3 linked regions of the Arabidopsis thaliana genome follow. The protein of the gene in region 1 interacts with the protein of each later gene in a pairwise test. Each region holds a gene or a part of one and is shown on either strand. Other genes may lie near its edges.

The links.
Region 2: the proteins of PYE (region 1) and AT5G51790 interact in a two-hybrid assay, tested with the Arabidopsis thaliana proteins (one large-scale study listed by BioGRID).
Region 3: the proteins of PYE (region 1) and UNE12 interact in a two-hybrid assay, tested with the Arabidopsis thaliana proteins (one large-scale study listed by BioGRID).

Annotation. Positions count from the first base shown.
Region 1 is NC_003074.8:17,565,423-17,569,938, reverse strand, and holds PYE (basic helix-loop-helix (bHLH) DNA-binding superfamily protein), read right to left. Parts: upstream 2,814-4,516; 5' UTR 2,737-2,813; exon of another isoform or gene 2,735-2,736; intron 2,464-2,734; exon of another isoform or gene 2,246-2,463; intron 2,094-2,245; 5' UTR 2,062-2,093; intron 1,945-2,061; 5' UTR 1,905-1,944; coding exon 1,846-1,904; intron 1,756-1,845; coding exon 1,652-1,755; intron 1,544-1,651; coding exon 1,416-1,543; intron 1,270-1,415; coding exon 838-1,269; 3' UTR 554-837; downstream 1-553. Other genes in the region: AT3G47650 (DnaJ/Hsp40 cysteine-rich domain superfamily protein), read right to left, coding at 34-100, 196-363.
Region 2 is NC_003076.8:21,037,622-21,042,171, reverse strand, and holds AT5G51790 (basic helix-loop-helix (bHLH) DNA-binding superfamily protein), read right to left. Parts: upstream 2,640-4,550; 5' UTR 2,606-2,639; coding exon 2,234-2,605; intron 2,120-2,233; coding exon 1,766-2,119; coding exon of another isoform or gene 1,727-1,765; exon of another isoform or gene 1,662-1,726; coding exon 1,578-1,661; 3' UTR 554-1,577; downstream 1-553.
Region 3 is NC_003075.7:1,136,934-1,142,345, forward strand, and holds UNE12 (basic helix-loop-helix (bHLH) DNA-binding superfamily protein), read right to left. Parts: upstream 3,608-5,412; 5' UTR 3,374-3,607; coding exon 3,011-3,373; intron 2,607-3,010; coding exon 2,484-2,606; intron 2,320-2,483; coding exon 2,254-2,319; intron 2,168-2,253; coding exon 2,102-2,167; intron 1,428-2,101; coding exon 1,347-1,427; intron 1,269-1,346; coding exon 1,035-1,268; 3' UTR 554-1,034; downstream 1-553. UniProt on the Arabidopsis thaliana protein: Required for ovule fertilization.

The DNA of each region.
Region 1 (4,516 bases):
ACTAAGAGAATTATAAAACAGGTAAGAACTTACCTTCCCCTTCACAATTTGCACAAACTAAACTGTTTGGTTTAGTGCCCTGAGGATTATTGTTTGCGGCCTATTGATACCACAGAATGAGATTTTGCATTAACGAAATGGTCAATGAAGTAAGCAAATTTTATAGAGAAGAGAAGAGTTTGGGAAAATTCTAACCTTAACTTCAAAACTTTGGGATCTTGAAGTCTGAAGCAGTTCTCTCTTCTGTACCAAGGAAGAGGTGTTATCATTAGTTGAGAAGAAGTGAGAAGGTTTAGGGTTTTTGCTTGGAGATTGGAAGCAAAAGGTAGGAGGAGAAGAGAAGAAGCATAGTGAATTCGCCATTTTCTGTTTTCTGATTCTTCTTACCCACTCGATAGCAAAGATAAGATGGCTCCTCTCACTTCTCTTTTTCTCAAGTGCCTATTTTACCAAAATACCATCATATTCTTTATCCAATCCAAACCAAAACCTATTAACCGGTTTTGTCTTTTAAACCCAATTTCACATTTTAGTTTCCATTAGAAAGCTTTTTTCTTAAAAAGAAATTTGATTTTTTTTGTTCTGTTTCTGTGTTTTTAGAATCTTAAGACAAAAGAAAATGACAATGGTTAGAGCTAATTTACTTATTTATCTCAAACGACCCATCAAGGCCATAACTTCCTGATCCTATGAACAACCATCAAAAACAAGAAATAGCCAAGGCCAAACCCACAAGGACATCAGAACGATGTATTAAAAAATACAAAACCAGAGTCCTTCATAAGTTGCCATGTCTTATAACTTGCGTTGCTACTCCATGTGGAGCCGTTCAAGACCTCATTCACTGGCTTTCAGCCGCTCTCCAAGTAGCCGAGAAGACCACGAGTCAGCCGCGCTAGCATACCTTGGACATGGCTTACTCACATTTGAGCTATTAAACATCAAAGGCTGCTGCGCTTGAGTCATTTCTGAGATATCTTGTGTCTGGGGATCAGGTTGTATTGGAAGGACAAGAACTGTTGCAGGAGGATGAAGAGTTGTAGCAGATTGTTGAAAGCCGGGGCCTTGGAAAATGGGAAGTCCTGGGAACTGAGATACACGTTCAGGATGTTGTTGTTGATAATGATGATGATGGTACTCGGGTGCAGGAGAGGTGTTCAAGTCAGGTTTCGACTGATTCGCTCTAGCTTCAATCTCGTTTTGTAGTTTCGAAATCTCAGTCTCAAGCACTGATGTTTCTTCCTTGAGCTCATTCTTCTCTGTGGTTACCTACACACAACACCAGTTTCCATCAACAAGACCATTTAGAAAAATACAAAGATGAAGTAACTTCTTGAAGCAACATTCGTCTTAGTTGTTGATTCACGTCACAGAATACATAAACACAATCAATGTGCATATAGAAATTGACTTACATAGCTAGATTCAGATAGGAGAGAAGCATGCTCCTTTCTAAGAGACTCAATTTGACCAAACACGTCCTTCAAGAATCGAGTAGCTTCGCATAGTATAGAAGCTTTCCCACTGTTCTGTTGATTCAGTTCTGCAACAAAGAAACATGTTCACAGTTAGATATCACAATCACATTCAAAATATCACAACACACTCGAGCAATTGTTCATTCAAATCTACGGAAAGATGAGAAATTTACCAAGAGTATCGGCTAATTCAATGAAAAGCTCATTCAAATGCTCACGCTTAAGCCTCTCACGAACGGCCTTGTTGATCCTTTTCGGTACTTTACCTTTTCTACATCTGTTTTATACACCAAACATAATCAATCCCCATAAATAAAAATAAAAGGTTCCATAATCTATTTCCAAGAATTGTCTCCTTAAGAATCACCTTTCATCTGCAGTAGCATTTGCTTCATCAGACGATGTAGAAGGAGTTTTCGATACCATCTTTGCTTTTATTACAGAACAAGATTCTCTGTCAAGTCACCTAAAATTTAGACATAAGATGATTAATCAAAAAGAACAGTGATCTTAATGAATCTAACAAATCATTCATCTTTATAATCAATCAATCACTCCTAATGTCAAATAAACACAAACGCACCAAGAAACATAGGAGCAGAAAAAAAAAAAAAACTTTCGTGTGATTTTTGATTCCTCAAAAACTGAAGCAAGTGTTTTAGATTCTGTCTTTATTACCCATATTCTTGTCAAATCAAATAGTGAAGAATAATTCTCAAAAATTACGGCTAAGTTCTCAACACAACAGATTCAGAGAAAAGAACTACCTTTCTTTCTCCGGTGAGAATCTCGTCGGAAACTGTAGACGATTAGGATTCGAAACGAGTAGAAGAAATAATAAGAGAATCTGAGAAAATGAAGAGTGAAATTGTTTTTTTTGGAGGAAGAAGGTCCGAAGTTGAGGAGGGCGTGTGGAGGCGCGTGGAGAGCACAGAAGAAGGTGGTGCGTTTAAGTGGACACGTGAGTTCGACATGTGCCTTTCTCTTTTTTACTTTTGTCTTCTTCTCTTACGTTGCGTGCCACTAAAGCTCATCTCTCATGGACACGTCATCGTATCTTTAATTAATAAAATAATAATATTAATCGAGTGGAAGAGTGGTTTAAATCGGGTAAAGTTCTATTAATGGAAATGTTTGTTGAGTGTAAATAACATTGTATTTTCTACAGATTAATCGGGTAAAAAGTTGTACTATCTGTTTAAGAATTTTATCGAGTAGATGAAAAGTAACATTTTCACAAAAATATACCGTAGAACACCAAAAAAAAAAAACAGGGGCATGTGGGGTCAACGTGAAGGATAATAAAGGCATGGAAACGCGCCGTCGAGAGCTGATGACGTGTCTGTCGTGTGTTTCCCACAAACTCTATTTATTGACGGTATGATGATTAGTATACACATTTTTAATGGCATAGTCAAATTCAGTGGGTGAGGAAAAATTGAAGATAGGAAATTAAAAAGAAATAACGAAATTATATTAATCTGCCTATTCCTCTTCTCCTTCATTTTGAATTCAAAAACCGAAATACTATATATAGTTTTGCGGTTCGAATGATGACTGTATTTTGTGATACGGAAAAAGTATGGGACGGTTCAAATAATAACAAAAATACATAGATATATATGTATATATAGAGATTTTTTATACTGTTACAGTTACGGTACGGTTTTGGGGGCGGTCTATGTCACCATTCATACACTGTGATTAAGAAACATACAAAAGGCGTTTTCTTGTTTTTTTATTAAAACTACAATACAGTTACCAATCAATACTTTTAACAAATTTGCGTTTTTCGAAAAAAAAAAGAAAAAAGTTTGCAATTTTGTCCTAAAAACAATACACTGGAATGCTTTTCAAAAGAAGAAAAATCATTTACCTAGTGTTTTTGCTCAAAACCGCATTCCAACAAAAAAATCGTTCATTACTCCATTACTTAAGCAAATTGTTATGTCCTACGTCCCAACCAAAAGTTTCTCAGCCTTTGCCTCTTCCATACACACATCCCTCGTTTATTACTCCATTACTTAAGCAAATTTTAATTTTTTTTCCATTAGCTTCCCCATTTAAATATATGTACAAAAAAAGAGAGTATATGTGTGCATCAGAATCACTAGTTACCTAGTGCATAAAAGAAAAAAATATACGTAGGACATAACAATTTGCTTAACTAATGGACTTTAATATATATATATATATATATATATATATATATATATATATGCAATAATTATAGTTTTATTCTTTTTATTTAATTAAAATCTAAGAAAATGTAATTACAAGAAATAGAAATATCATAATACTTATAGAAATTTTGACAATTATTATCCACTATAAGCTTATATAAGTTCTATAATCAATTTACTAGTAAAAAATTATGATTTTTTTTTCAATTTTTTATGATGAAACTATTCAACGAATTTAATAATATGTATGTTAAACTTTAAAAATGTATATTTTGATTTATTTATGTATTAATAATTTATAAATATATGTTATTGCTTATTTATTAACACAAAAATAATAATTAATTATTAATATATATATATATATATAATTTATAATCCGCACCGCAAATAATTTTTTCATCAATCAAACATTATTCTGTACCGCTTATTTTGTACAAACCATATTTGTCCCGCAAATATATTTTTCTCGCACGTACCGTAATTGAACTGTACTGCAATGTTATACCACTTTTCTCACATATTAAAAACCGAGGTTACCATTCGGACCATAATATATTTTTTCATCAATTGTTTGCATTATAAAAAGAAAAAAAAAAAGAAGAACAAATCGGAGGGTTCAGATTTCAGAAACAAAATACCGAACCGCTAGGTCGTTGGTTTTGCCGGTTCGTTTGCACCGGGATTTTAGAGCTAGACAGGGACCAAATAATTAAGCGGATCGTGGGTATTACCGGTCCGGGTCCGGAAAAACATCTGTTAGAAACTAATCTCGTTTGGCCCAAACCCAAAAAAGCTAGCTTCACGGCGTTTGTTGTTCTTCCTCGCTCTTCGCCGCCTTCACTCGCAGTCGCA
Region 2 (4,550 bases), on another chromosome or scaffold:
CCTCACACTCACACAACACTCAACTAGATAACTTTAGGTTAATTAACTCTTCTAAAGCCAGAAACTCATACATACGTAAGATTAGAGCTTTTTTCTTCCACTATTTATGATTAGGTGAGCTGTCTTAAATCGTGCCCTCGATAATTGGATTTCAGATTCATAAAAGGGTACTTCTCGAACTAAAAATCGGAATATATGTGACCAATTTATTATTAATAAATAAATAGTTTACCAAATTTTTTGTTATAAATAAATTCGAAATTTAGGGATCGGGCATAGACATTTTCTTTTAAGCTTTACGGTCATCCACTTGAATTATAGATAGAACTAGTCAATTCGGATATGCTAAACTTTTTCTTATAACTTTTTTTCTTCTGGAAAAGGGACTTTTAAAAAATAAAATTATGTTTTTTTGTCATCAGAATATTATTTAACCACGCATCACCAACAATTGATTTAAGTATTGGTCTAATTAGGCTGTCTTTATTAGAACATAATCCAATTTGAAGATCATGAATTCGTTGGACAGCATCTTTGTACTTAACCATTAACTAACAATAATTAAATCAAAAGTATATTAGGGAGATCTCAACCACTCAATCGTATCTTTATTGCTTTAACATTCGACTGCCATCCTCGCTAATTTTTATATAATTAAGATGTATTTAAGCCATAATTTTACATAAATCTAAGAAAAATTATTCAACGGCAAAATATATATGACCGAAGTTATGCGATACTGTTTATGTGCTTCAGTGCTTCAGTGCTTCTGGTTGAGGCCGAAGAGGCAAAAGAAACCTAGAGTTATATATACGTCACTATAAAATATAGATGAATATTTGAATGTACTTTCTTCTTCTTCTTAACCCAAAAAAACGTTTTCAGTATTCCTTTCCATATATTTCAGTAATGTCATGTAATTTCATTTATGAACAAAATATGGCATGATTAGAAAACTTGAAAACCGTGAGTCAAATCAAATTATGTGCATGCCATATTATCTACTAATATATATGCGGGTTAATCAAATGAAAGTTTCTTTTGATCAGTGTTTGTTCCTAGCTATAGGTCAATGTCGTACGAATTTAGTCAGTAAAACTCACAAGATATCTACTAATGTTGAATGGCAGCTGCTCCATTATTTAACCTGCATTACCATGCTCCTCTCATAAAATATCTTCATTGGTAAGTCTCAGAGAAGTGTATGTATGCTATGTTCAAAATATCTATCAACTATGGTTCATGCATATGAAGTATAAAAAGACACCGATGAGACTCTAGTCTTTATCATCGATTGATGAATATATATATTCAAAAATGTATAAAGAAATCAGGCGCATCACTATATTTTTGTTTTGTTGGTGATCAAAAGATTCTCCTATATAAAGAAGCATGCATGAAAGTTTAGAATTTGCTAATTCAATCTAATCAACCAGATCATTTTTACAAAAAAAAAAAAAAAAATCACTCCAAGTAGTGAAGGACCAAAAGAACACACCCTTACGGACACTAAAACAAAGAGATTGGGACAAAAGCATCATTCAATGAACATATTCTTATGACAAATGTTAGTTTTTTCAGTGCCTAGTCGTGGAAAGTACTAACTGCTCAATTAGCTTCTGCTGCAACCAAGCTAAGTCGAAGCAATCAAAGCTATTTACCTGTGGATATATCATATATATGGATACATAAGAATAAGCATATTTACACAATAGATAAGCTTACACTAAAAAACTCTACAATAACTCCAAATATGTAACCGTACCTCGACTTGTATAGTGTACATGAGCCTCTCGTTGACTCGTGCTGTTAAAGAGCTGATGACTTCAAGTCCTTGCCCGTGAAGAACTTCAAGAACTCTTGAGAGTGGCCAAGCCTCGAGACCTGATGCTAAGCTGCTCACAACCACCTCGAAGCCGCTCACACACGGTTGCACCATGACACTAGCTGGTTCCGATCTACTTGATCCAGATCCGGATCCGGATCCAGTTAGACTAGTAGGGTCACCAATCTCTCGCTTTAGCTCGTCTCTTCTTGCGGAGAGATCTTTTATCCTTGTTTGCGTGTCTTTGATGAAACTTACTGCTCCGTTTACATGATCTGACATGGCTCTCTTTCCCTGCGAAGAAAGAGCCTGAGAAAACTAAAACCCTAGAGAACAAAAATCTCCCATCAATGAACTTGATAGGAAGATTGGGACTTCAATGAGACTATTGGAGTAAAATATATGTACCTTGATGTATTTTAGAGGTAGCTGACTACGAAGAGAGGCGAAAAGGATCGCCATTTCTTGTCTTCTTTGTCGTTCGATGTTGCGGTGGAGAAGCTTCTTCTCCTTCTTCGTTTCATCTCTTTCTTGAGGCATATGACTCTGGTGCCTTGTCTTTTTAGGATTGTTAGAAGGATTCATGGGTTGAGGTTTAGAAATGGTAGATCTCAGCAGTAATCGTTTTTTTTTCTCTCTTGTTTTTTCCAATGAACTAGTTAGGTTTATAGGAGAGACTGCCCTTACATAATTGGGTCTGTCTTCTTTAATCTTGGAAGAAAGAAAAAAACAAAGAAGACTTACTAAATAATGCAGCCTCGGGAGAGGTGTTGTTTTCATCTTTAGTCAAATAGTTTGGTTTGCTGTAATGTTTCACAAGCTCTTTTACACGTGACAGAACTTTATGCTTTGTATGTATATAACTAGCGAGTGTGTGCAAATCATTTCTCTGGCTTTTTAATGTTGGGAGTGTCTTGTAGAAGATTTTCTGACGCGCTTTATAATTTCAGATATCCAAGAAATATGAATGGTAAAATCTTGATTAGTCTAAAACGGATCCCAATATGATCTTGATCGATATAAATCTTGATATATTTATATGGATCAAGATCTGGAATTTACATTCCAATTTTCTTTTATATGATGTGTTTCATATATAAAAAAATACATAGAACATTTTAATTAACTTTAGAAAATATATAATATTACTAGTAAGATCAATGTGAATATCTATACATTTTATCACATTTGGATTTATTTATTTTTGCTTGAACATTATGATCTATCATGCAAATTGTTTTCAGTTTTCTTCCAAATTTTTGCATGTGATTTGAAGATGACTAATGAAGCATTTTTTTCTTATGGTACACTGGTATCTGCTTCGAGATAGAACAAAAAAATCAAATGATATTTGATCAAAATATCTGGATTTGTCAATTGTGATAATGGATGAATAGTCATGAGTCGACTAATCGGTAGAATTCTCCATAGAAACTTTCAAGGAGATAAAGAGGTTGCTCAAATTAGAAAGTTTGTCGTTGAATTATGTGTGATTTGTTTGACAAAAACACAAAACAACGAAATGATTATGTGTGGTTTCTATTAGTTTTGGCCCAATAAAACTTTATGGTGGCAACAAAGAACATTCGGCAAATAAGAACGTGTACATGTACTCAAATAATATAATCTCATGCAAGAGAAGAGATTATTTATCAATATGTTTGTGAAGATGTTCGCAGTATCAATGAACACACAAATGTTGTCAGTATTATAACCGAACTTTCTAACGCAGTCTAAGCATGAAAATCATATTGTTATAGTATACATTAGAATTGCGGAAAATTACGTACATATCCCATAACAGTTAAATGAAAAAAAAAAGAGAACAAGAATACAAACATCATTTAAAAATATTGGGAATTCACTCTCATTCACTTGGACAGAGAAAATATCTTATCAGTTTCTTTTGTTGTTTTGGCAATTTCGATTGTCATCGGGTAAAACTTCTAGAAACTAACCTCACGATATTTTTCAATCAAAATATGATAAAGATAAATAGTAAAACCAAGGGAGACACATTTAATAATGGGGATAAGCTAAGTGGATAGGATGAGTGAAGTGGAGTGGACATAGTTAAAAGATAGGCCTAGGACAGCTCATGCAACTTCAAGACAAGGTGGAAGAGGAGACAAGAAAGATCCTGGTTATTAATAGATGGAAACCAGCTGTTTCATTTGTCCTAAAATATCCCAGCCTCATTAGCATCTCATGGATCCCACTCTCCCAAATTATTTCGAGCATGCATTATGCCACATGTGAGTTTATGTAGTTATTCATTATAACCTCAAGTTTGATTTTTGTTCTGTGTGTAAGCCGTGTTCAGTTACAAACCAACCACTTATAATAATCTAACAGTATTTTCTAATCAAATTGTTAGAAAGGTAAACAGTAGAACTGCCGTCAAGGAAGACGAATTTGATGTAGTAAGGGACTACTTTTTTTTTTTTTTTTTTTTTTTTAGTATGGGACTACTTAAAGTCTTAAAACAATAGTTTTGATCGGAAACAGAAAATCTAGTCGATTCGTTTTTGGGAGATTTACTCGATAAATCTTTGATTTTGATGATCCTAGTGATAGTTTCTAATAGGTTGAGAGAAAAGAAAATAATAACGATAACTAGAGCTTCCGAGTTGTATAAATACAAGATTCTTATTTATAAATCGAATTTGAATTTAATTTCATAATATTTTAAAATAATTAAAAACAATTATCGGAAAATTCCAAA
Region 3 (5,412 bases), on another chromosome or scaffold:
TGTGGTTCAATAACGCAAAGGCTATAGCGATGTATGTTTGACGCCTGTACCGCATCAAATTGAGTTTGCATACTCTTTGTAGTCTTCTTGGTTTTGGAATTTAGACCCATTTTAAACAAATTGCCAAATCATCTTCGTTTATTATTATCTCACTCTAAGATTCATGTGAAATTGTAATAAAAACAAAACTTTTATCTGTTACTTCAAAAGACACAAGATTTTCCAAACTTTACTCAAAAAATAAATTTGGCAGAATGATTTAATGAATCACATGAAATAATCATATCAATAACTTTAATTCTTCGATGAGTTTTTTTTTTGGCTATATTTTTCCAAAACTAACAATATTAATAAAAGTTGTATTTTGTCTTCACTAATCAATGCAAAATGTAAACATGCAAGTTTAAATTGATACATGTTCTGTCCAAAGTGTATATATCTTAGCATTTGAGATTTGGAAGTTAAAATTGTACACGTACCACTAAAAAAAAGAAGCACAATTCATGGTACTTTCTCCTAAAATATTTGCTTTATGTTTCTAGTGTTATCAAACAAAGGATGGTTACTAGATCAAACTAATAATATTATTTGATAATTAATTATACTACTCCAAAGTCATACAAAATAAATAATAATACAAGGGGTGACAAATTACAAATACTTGTTTTTTCTTCAATTTGAACACAACTCAACAAGGTCCCACAACTTCCCACTACTACTACTACTAATAAATAACACCCTTCAAGCTCCTTCCTCAACCTCCCACTAAAGTCTTGAAAACAAAAAGTTGCTTTCATCAAAGTCCACCTAAAATAAAGGTACAATGATTACAATAATACTTGATCAATTGAGCTTTTTGACATTTTTTTTCCCTCTACTGCAAATCCTACATTGATTCCATCTACAAAGCCTTTTTCACTTTTTTACCTTTCAAGTGGGTGAGAGAGGAGAGAAGAAACCAGAGTCATTAGAGCAGAAGAAAAACCCATGTTGGACAGTTGGATTAGCTGTACAAACTCTTTATTGCAGAAATCCTACTGTGGAGGATTGTTCTCAGGCTTGACCACTGAAGATGTATCCGGAGGTTGAGAATGGTAAATTGCCATTGCCAATGAGATTGGCATCATACAAAGAGCCTTTGATTGAAGAAGCTGCATCGCGGCTCCAACGTTCTCTTCCATCAGTTTAGCCACTTGACGTTCAGTCCCATCGTTAGACCATTTCTCCCACGCTGGTTGCGGAGTCCTTCCACCCTCACCCGTTTCATCCTATTGACATTTTAAGCAAAATCTGAATCAAAACCCCATTACTAAAGTTTTTACTTTTTGTTCTTAAAAAGTTTTTACCTCAACTGATGATGAAAGAGGCATATCAGTAACAAGTGGAGCAACCGCACCGGCTCCACCAAGTCGGCTCATGCTCAAAACCTACCAAAGTTGACAAAGAGAAACAGATATCATTGAAAGTGATAAGCTTCACCCCATGAAAATTATATATATAAAAAAAGCTTTTACTTTTAGATGAGCATGGAAGATTTCACAAGAAACACATTTTCTATTTTTAAAACAAAAGATGTATTATCTTATCAGAAATCCATCATTGCATTCTGTTTCTTTAGTGTCTCCATTATCTTATAAAGTAAAGAGACTTCCTTTTTTCGCTTGCGAGAGCTTTAAGTAACCGACTGCATTTTGATATAAGAAGCATTTGATGATCTACCAGATTACTATATTATAATGTGAACATGATGATTGTAATTATTGTTGAATATGGTATTATAATCATAAACTGTGATTAGGCTCCCTATGACAAAACAAAAAGTGAAAAGAGACTAAATGCCAAAGAAAACAAAAGCATTTTGGACTTGTTTATTCTTTCCCACATTAAATAACTGATCTAATCAGATTGAAATTTGGTTGAAGGGTAGGTAATGGTGGGACCAGAATTAACACCAAAAATCCATCCAGAGAATTTGAAAGACATGATCTTTAGATCTCTAATCTTATGAACAAACAGATTAAACATATTGCATAGGGAGTAATAAGATAATTCACAAGAAAGAGAGTTCGAGTTTAAAACTGCAGAAGAGAGAAGAATATACCTTGACTTGGAGCCTGAGAAACTTTACATAATCGACAATCTCATCGATCATAGCAGCTCTATCGGTCTGCACACGAAGACGGGAGAAACAGAAAGTGTCAAACTTTCTAGAGAAATTATATACAGGTGAGGGTTAGGGTGAAAGGTACAGACCTTGTTCACAGTAGGTACAAGTTCCTGCAGCGCCCTGATCCGTTCTGCTATTCTTTCTCTACGTAGCTGTGGTAAAGTAAAACAAACTTTTAGGTAATCCCTCCATAAAATCAAGAGATCATTACACAATGTTAACATTTTTTTATATCCGAAACATATTTTCAACTACAACCAACTCGCCACCAACATAGTATATCACAGGGAAATACAAAAGAGAATCTGAAATATACCCGCTCAGCGATGCTATGTGGATCAGTAGCCTGACCACGCCTAGCTCGAACCCTGGGACGGATTGAAGTAGGCTGATGTGGGGCCGATGGAGGTGGCTGTTGCATAGGCTGCCCGTGGAAAACCTTCCAGACAACACACAGAAGAAATAAGACCAAACGAAAATAAACCATTTGCACAAGGATTTGACTCCATTAGTTGTAAGAGAATAATTTAAGTTAGACCCTTAAGATTACTCATTTGACCAACTTAGAAGGCAAGATAAGCCACGCAGCTACATGAACTAGTGAGAAGTTGCTCATAGAGTAACAAGAGCTAACCTTAGTTTACTAAACAAACCAAAATCGATTAGATTCAACAAGTCTGAGCCAAAATAAAGCACATAACGCAAATCATCAACTTTGTTAAAGTTACTTACCACAAATCAAAAACTAAAACAAAAGTTACCAAAAATGTTCTCTTCAAAACCCTCAAATTCGATTTCTTCCCATTTCTAATAATCAAACACCAAAGCAAGAACAGAACTTACAGGTTTCATAGAAGAACATCGATTATCAACAACATCATCTGAGAATCTTTTCCCACTTCCATGTCCTCCTTCAGGTCTAAGAAACCCAGGTCCTTTCCCTTGATCAAGACTTAACCCCAAAGGAAACATCTGATTGTGAAACCCAGTTGGTCCACTTCCTCCTAAGCCACCCATGTGACTTCCTTCTTCTCCGGAACCCAACTGCAGCATCATAGGCGGTGCTCCACCACCTAATCCTCCGTCAACTCCAGATAAACCGGCGGCAGAAGAGGCTGAGAAGTTAGGAAGGCCGAGGATTTGCTCGAAGAAATCATCAGAAGGAGTTTGGTCAGAAAGGTTGTCGTGAGGGTTGTTACTAGCCATGGTTTGAGCTAAAGACAGAGACTTTGACTCGAACGAGTCACTGTGAGTTACGATTAACGAGTTAGGAACCTTCAAAGAGAGATTTACATGCGAAAGCTACAGATTTTTTTAATCTATTTTGGGTTGATGAAATTTTGATGCTTTAAAACGAATGAGGACGAAGAAGACAGAGACGAGAAAGGAGCAGAAGAAAAGTGAAAACTTTATGCTCTGTTTATAAAAAAAATATCCTTTTTGGTAAAAGACCTTACTTTTTCAGATTATTTCGTTTTTGCCATTTTCTTATTTTCCTTCCAGAAACAAAATAAAAATATATAAATGGGCTGGATTTTATATCATATTTGGGTCTTCTTTCTCTTCTTCTAAATATGGGCCTTCAATTCAGTCTTTGTTTTTTTCTTTATGGGTTAAAGTCTTCTTTAGTTTTCCTTATAAATTACGTTAAACCTCTAACAATTAATTTATAGAGGTATTAATTATTAGTAAATTAATAATTAATAATTTCTTTAACATTATTTTTTGCTTATGTTTTAATGTTTACTTGATTTTTTTATTAAAATAGTTTCTTTGTTTTTGTTTATGTTTTTAACTATTATAATAGTTGTAGTCAAACATAATTTAGTAATCTTTTTAATTAATTTTGAAAATATATGATATACTTATAATTGCCACTAGATATTATATAATTTGAATTGATGTATTTGGAAATTGGAAAAATACACTGAGACCAAACATTTGCGATTTTATACGGCCGAAGCGGTCGTTTAGGTGTTACGAAAGTGGAAATGGTGCGTCGTGGAATTGCACTGAAATCATCCCCACATATCTCCTCCCGCCTCTAATAGCTTCTGGTTCTTTCCGTTCTCATATATCTAGCAGATCCACTACCTATCTACCATGACGCCAAGTAGTGACGGTACTGTCCGTCGTACTTATTGCTCTCTATTTTTAGAACATGACGAATGAATTGTAGTTATCTATTATTGTATCCCTCCTAATTCTAATTAATGTATTCAACTATTAGAATGTATTGAAAAAATCGCTTATTTTTCTGTTTGTAAGTTAAATTTTCCTATATCACTTATTGAGATGTTTACATAATTCAAAAACGTCACATAATTATCTTGCGAGATATAATCAAATTCGAGATATGCGCTAAGCAAACAAGCTCCAAATAAAGTATTTCAAATTCAAAAGAGACAATTTAGTTTCCTAGAAAATGTTTTCTCTCTTCTATCACAATTCAGGTTGATTCCCAAGCTTGTCGATATGGAAGATTCTGTTTGCTAGCTTATCAATCTCAGCGACTCCTCTCTCTAATTTGAGTCTACACCAACAAAAACTAAAGGGTTCACATCATTATGCCTAAATGGAGCTCATTTATAAAGGAACAACTTGTGCTTAAGGAGGTAATTCTCAGACCAAACACGAACATCCAACATAAGAAGTAATAAAAGCTAAGAAAAACAGTTATTTACAAAAATCAATAAATAAAACAAGTTTTGTTTTGGATGAAAAAAAAAAAAAAAAAAAAACAAGTTTTGTTTTGATAATATATTAACACAAAAAAAATCAGTTAATCAACTTAATAGTTTAATATATTAATTATTATCCCTTTAAGAATTTTTTTTTCTAATGCCCTTTTCATGATGCCCTTTTTCAACTTTACCCTTTTGTTTTATCCAATTTTATTTCTACCCTCTTTAAATTTTTAATGACCATTTTACCCTTATTTGGAAATTGTTTTAGGTTAACAAAATGAAAAATTAATATTTTTTCGCCAAAAATATTCCAAAATAAATTTCCCGCCAAAATTTGTTTTCAAACATATTTTTCCCGCCAATTTTTTTTTTTTGGCGGGAAATAGATTTACAAGGGATTTTAAAAGAGTTTTAAAAGATTTACAAGGGATTTTATAGGGGTTTTATAAGATTTACAAGGGATTTTAAAAGGGTAATTTACAATAGATTTTAAAGGGATTTCAAAAATTTACAAAAGTCTTTTAAAGATTTTTAAAGGCTTTAAAATTGTTTTAAAAA